2 separate regions of the Mus musculus genome follow, and region 1 is reported to be linked to region 2. Evidence: microRNA targets listed by miRTarBase, many of them from high-throughput screens and not tested one by one. Region 2 holds a microRNA gene; the other region holds the end of a gene's coding sequence.
Evidence for each region. Region 2 holds the annotated microRNA mmu-miR-466n-5p (GUGUGUGCGUACAUGUACAUGU, at 1,645-1,666, shown strand). A microRNA usually pairs through its seed, bases 2 to 8, with sites in the 3' UTR of a target mRNA and lowers its output. Matches are read on the target gene's strand: a 7mer-m8 pairs with bases 2 to 8, a 7mer-A1 pairs with bases 2 to 7 and ends in A, and an 8mer does both.

Region 1: the mRNA of Mlec is a reported target of mmu-miR-466n-5p. Seed matches in the 3' UTR shown: 7mer-m8 at 393-399 and 7mer-A1 at 430-436.

What each region holds. Positions count from the first base shown.
Region 1 is chr5:115,145,197-115,148,196 of GRCm38, reverse strand. Mlec (malectin) reads left to right here. Exons shown (of 5, transcript NM_175403.3): 5 at 53-3,000. The coding sequence ends at 282. Among named protein-coding and RNA genes, the nearest start is that of Mlec, 11 kb to the left of the region's middle.
Region 2 is chr2:10,510,334-10,513,491 of GRCm38, forward strand. Mir466d (microRNA 466d) reads left to right here and starts at 1,634; the gene lies at 1,634-1,729. The region is part of intron 10 of Sfmbt2 (Scm-like with four mbt domains 2); the gene reads left to right. Mir297b (microRNA 297b) reads left to right here and starts at 1,334; the gene lies at 1,334-1,442. It overlaps Mir669m-1 (microRNA 669m-1), which reads left to right and starts at 2,457; the gene lies at 2,457-2,554. It also overlaps Mir669m-2.

The DNA of each region.
Region 1 (3,000 bases), not on the chromosome of region 2:
TAAATGCTCTGGGTCTTAGTGTACTTAAAGGGTTTTTCTTTTTTTCTATTAGATGTACCAAAGCTGCAGCCTCATCCAGGATTGGAAAAGAAAGAAGAGGAGGAGGAGGAGGAGGAATATGATGAGGGGTCTAATCTCAAAAGACAGACCAACAAGAACAGGGTGCAGTCAGGCCCCCGCACGCCTAACCCCTATGCCTCGGACAACAGCAGCCTCATGTTCCCTATCCTGGTGGCCTTCGGAGTGTTCATTCCAACCCTCTTCTGCCTCTGCCGCTTGTGAGAGGACAAATGGCCATCCTCAGCAGGGTGGAGGGAGTGTGCGAGAAACCAGACACTTTGGTTTCTGTAATCTTCACAGTGTTTAGGAAAAGAGAAAACAAATCAAACAGCGCACACACACACACACACACACACACACACACACACACACACAAACACAGACACACATGTGCTCACACACACACGGAAAGAGATAAGAAAAGCAGAGAGAGTGGGGTCACCCCACCAACACAGGTTGCAGAGTGCTCAGTCCTGCTCTGCCTAGCTGGCCCCACCCCAGCTCTCTTTCTCTGGGGTACTTAGGGAGAGGATCCTTCCTCTCCGAGGATCCTCATTATATACCTAGTAGGAAGGACTCTGAACTCAGAGCAGTCACACTTCCTTGGTTTTTTTAGGTTAGACATTAACAAACAGCAGGAAAATGTCACATAACCTGGAAAGACCGCACTGGAGTTGGGTGTGTTCTGAGTTTCTGTCCAGATGTGATTTCAGCAGTCATGGTATTCCAAGTGTGTGTGTGGAGGTAGATAAGTGGGACGGTAAAGACAAAGGCGTGGAAGAGAAAGTCAGCGCTTCCTTCCTGGGAAGCCTGTCGTCTGGGTTAATCTGTTGATGTATCTTCATTGTCATCTCTCATCCTGATGTGTGCCAGTTAGAGGACTGTCTGGTATCCAAGACGACTAGTGTATGTCAGGTCCTCAAATCACCAACAGCTTGTTACTACAACAAATTGTTTTGATTTTAGTGCCTGTTGAGGACTTGATTTCTTCTTGATTTTTCTCTTAATCTGGTTCATTTGAAATTTCTCACTTCTTAACCATAGAGCTAAGTTATTGTCAAAACTGGGCAGGAGACAGGAGATTGGAGTGGTCTCTGCTGGGGTGTCTGACCCTCCACCACCTCACCTTGTTGGTACCTCCCTCCCTGAATTCCTGAGCCAGCAACTCTTACTGGCCCCTCCATAGGGTCTTGCTGCCAGGGACAGGGATGCTTTCCAGCCTGCAGCAACAGAACACTTGACCTTAAAAGTCTCTTCTGGTCTTTGGATTAGAAAAGGCTTATGTTAGCAACCTCAGAGACTTGAGCCCTGCTAAGTGACTGACCACTGTTTAGAATGTCCAGAATCTGATGTCCATCTGTCCCTGTGTCTTCTGTCCTCTTTCAGCTAGTTTAGGCTTATGCCTAGAGTCACCCCAAAGAACTGAGACTGGCTGCAGCAGCCCAGCTGTGTTTCTCATTGATGATAATAGTAGGCTCTACTGCCCTCCCCTCCCCTATCCAAGTAGCAGTTAAGTTCCATCCAAATACGTGGGACTCAAAGACTCCTAGTCAGCTGTAGTTCTGGAGGCTCTGAATGTCTAACTTTAGCATCAAAGTGTCTGTCTCAGATTCCCAGTAAACACCTCTGTAGGGGATGAAGTTTCCATGTCCCCCATCTTCCTTTTGGTCACCTTCATCTGTGTGTCAGTTAAGACACAGTGAGGGACAGCCCAGCTGCAATAAAAGGGATTTTCTATGTCAGAAGCAGCAGGCTTTGCTTCAGCTTGAGTTGGAGCCGTGTGAGTCTCAGGCCAGGCCCTTATTTCTGAATGTGTTTGAATTTTAAGTTTGCCTTATCAGATATCTGAGCTGTGCGACAAGTAAGTAGCTCTGGGGCCATGTCTTGACTGGCTCCTAATGGTGACTCCAGGCCAGCACTTGGTCATTTGAGAACTGTCTTCTGTGTTCTCTGTGACTTAGGCTAGCCCTAGGGTACTGAGGTGGCAGCTGCATGGCTGTGGCCTGAAGTTGCACTTGCAAAGGTCCTGCTTCTACAGGACGCTGAGGTACTTACTACCCTGGTCTCGGGAACTGCCTGCCTAGGGCAACAGATGTCCTGACTAATCTGGCTTCTGGTTCCCGGTCCATCCCTATTTACAAAGCTATGGGCCACTGTCAGCACATTAAACAAGGTGAGGGAGAGTAGCTGCCTCCGTGTCACCTTGTCTGCCTGGGTCTCTGAGGAAGGAGGGGTCCTGCTTTCTCACCCAGCTCACCCCTTTGGTGACTCAGAGTCCTTCTCAGAAGGAAACCCTGACTCCTGGGCCATTTCCTAATGGTACTGTAAGCCAAGTGGCTCGGCTTCTGCCTCTGTTTCCAAGCCCACCCCTTCCCGGAGGGATAGGGACGGGTGCTTTCCTCTCTAGTTGTATCTGAGCGGAAGGAACATCTTTCTGTAGCTAATAAAAACTAAAAGGGAAGAGGAAGCAGAAGGGAAGGAGTGTGGCGGAGGCTGGGATGGATTCCCTAAGCCAAGCCTGCCCAGCTAATGAGCTGTTTGACGTTGAACTTGAAAGCTTTCCCCTCCCTCTAAGATGATGTAGGTACTTGAGGTTTGGGTTAAAGGGGCTGGGTGGGGCACGCTTTATTTTTATTTTTGTATTGTGTATGTCAAGAATCACTCCATTGTTCGTGTTGCTTTTTGCACTGTTTGTTCCCCGCTGTGTTTTGAGCTAGAACAAGGAGTTGCCTGGGATTGGGAGCTGTGGGTGGTGCAAGTCAGGGAGTGGGCCAGGAGAGGCCCGGGTTTTCTGTTTGAGCTATACTCTGACCCAGGATGTTAGAGCACACTGATCCAGCCACTAGAGAGAAAGGTACAAGAGCAGAGCAGAGGAGCAAGCAAGGACAGCTGGGTTGAGTCTGCAGGTCCAGTGTGGTTTAGGTCAGTCAGGGGCCAGCT
Region 2 (3,158 bases):
GGGCAAGTGAGTGCTCTCATTCTCTAGGTGAAAATGCTTACTATAGTTAGGAGTATCAGAAGTTCAAATTTATGCTTATCTTCAGCATGATTTAGAGATAAGCCTGTGATTCATGTGATGCCTTAAGTGTACATGCAGGTTTGTATAGTTGTGTGTGTATGTTCATGTGTCTATATGGATATACATAACATATACATAGACATATAAACCCTAGCGTGCACACACACACACACACACACACACACACACACACACACACACACACGAATAACATTCATAGATCCATTTATATGATATGCCACCTAGAATATTAGAAATTATTCAGTACTGGGCCAGTGAGTGCTGTCATTTTCTAGGTAAAAATGCTTGCTAGAATCAGGAGTATCAGGAGTTCAAATTCATGCTTATCTTCAGGAGGATATAGATATCTGCCTGTGATTCATGTGATTGCCACCCATGTATGTGCATGGGTGTATAGTTTTGTGTACATGTGCATGTGTGTATATGAATAGACATAACATGCACATACATATAAACACAAGCACACACACACACAGAGACACAGGAATGACACTCATCGATCCATCTGAATGATAGGTGACTTAGAGTTTTAGAGATTATGCAGTAGTGGGACAGTGAATGGTCTCAATCACCAGGTGTAAACCACAGAGTCAGGAGGATCAGGAGTTCAAATCCATGCTTAATTTCAGTTGGAGATCATCCTGGTATTTCTGTGATGCTACCCATGTATGTGCATGTGTGCTTACTTGTATGTGCATGTGCATGTGTTGATATGAATATACATAACATAAACACACGTGTATATGCAGGCACACACACACAGAAGAAATTGCATTCGTCGTTACGTTTGAATGATATATGACTTAGAGCTTTAAGAGTATGTATTACTGGGCCAATGAAACGTCTTACTTACCAGTAAAAATGTTTGTTATATTCAGATGGATCAGGGGTCCAAATTCATGAGTAATTTCAAAATGACATAGAGATCAGCCTGACTTCACGGGGTTCCCCCCAATGTATGTTTATGTGTGTATAGTTTATGTGCATGTGCATGTGTGCATATGCATATACATATACATCCATACAAACATATAGAAGTAGCACAGATACACAGACACACACACACACACCCATCAATCATTTTGAATGACAGGTGACTTAGAGTTTTAGAAATTATGCTGTGCTGGGCCAGTGAGTGCTCTTAGTCAAAAGGTAAAAATGCTTGCCAGAGTCAGGAGGATGAGCAGTCAAAATTCATTCTCAACTTCATGATGAGTCTGGGATCAACTTCGGATTCATGTGATGCCCCCAATCTATTTGCTTGTGTGTATATGTATGTGTGCATGAACATGTGTATATGAATATACATATACATACACACATACCCATACAAACATGCATACAAACACACAGAAAATGGATACTCATTGTTCTATTGAATGATATGTGTCTTAGAGTCTTAGAGATTCTGTATGACTGGGCCAGGGAGAGGTCACACTCACCATGTGACGCCCCTTGCCAGAGTCAGGGTGATCAGGAGTGCAAATTCATGTTAACTGCGTGATGAGGTAGAGATCAGCCTGTCATTCATGTGATGGCCCCTGTGTATGTGCATGTGTGTTTGTGTGTGCGTACATGTACATGTGTGTATATGAATATACATATACATACACGCACACATAGATACGCACGCACACACACACACAGGGATGGCACTCATCAATCCATTTGAATGATAAGTGACTTAGAGTGAAAATGCTTACTAGAGTTAAGAGTATCAGGAGTTCAAATTCATACTTATCCTCATGAGAATTTAGAGATCAGCCTGTGATTTATGTGATTCCTCCATGTATGTGCATGTGTGTATAGTTGTGTGTGCATGTTCATGTCTATATTTGAATATACATAACATACACACACACGTATAAACGCAAGCACACATACACAGATACAGGAATGGCATTCGCCAATCCCTTTGAATGATAAGTCATGTAGAGTTTTAGAGATTATGCAATAGGGGACATTGAATGGTCTCACCCACCAGGTGTAAAAGATTGACAAAGTCAGGAGGATAAAGATTTCAAATTCATGCTTAATTCAGTTAGAGATCATCCTGGTATTCATGTGATGCCACCCATGTATGTGCATGTGTGTTTACTTGTATGTGCATGTGCATGTGTTGACATGAATATACATAACATAAACACATGTGTATATGCAAGCACACACACACACACACAGAGAAAAAATTGCATTCATTTATATGTTTGAAAGATATGTGACTTAGAGCTTTAGCAATTATGTAGTACTTGGCCAATGAAACTTCTTACTTACCAGTAAAATGTTTTTCATATTCAGATGGATCAGGAGTTCAAATTCATGAGTAACTTCAAAATGGTGTACAGATCAGCCTGGCTTCATGGGATCCTCCCCAATGTATGTGCATGTGTGTATAGTTTTGTGTGCATGTGCATGTGTGTATATGAATAGACATATACATCCACACAAACATATACAAGCAAGCACAGATACACACACAGGAATGGCACTCATCGATCCATTTGAATGATAGGTGACTTAGAGTTTTAGAGACTGCAGTAGTGGGACAGTGAATGGTCTCAGTCACCAGCTGTAAATGATTGACAAAGTCTGGAGAATCAGGATTTCAAATTCATGATTAACTTCAGTTAGAGATTATCCTGGTATTCCTGTGATGCCACCCATGTATGTGCATGTGTGTTTACATGTGTGTGCGTGTACATCTGTGTAAATGAATATATATATATATATATATATATACATATATATATATATATATATATATATATATATATATATATAACATAAACATACATGTATATGGACACACGTATGCACACATACACACAAGGAATGGAATTCATTGATATGTTTGAATGATATGTGATTTTGAGCTTTAAAGGTTATGTAGTACTGGTCAAATGAAAGTTTTTCTCACTATGTAAAAGCTTGCCATATTCAGAGGGGTCAGGAATTCATATTCATAAATAAATTCAAAAGAGAGTAGAGATCAGCCTGATTTTATGGGGTTCCCCACAATATATTTGCATGTGTGTATAGTTTTGTGTGCATGTGCATGTGTGTATATGAATATACAT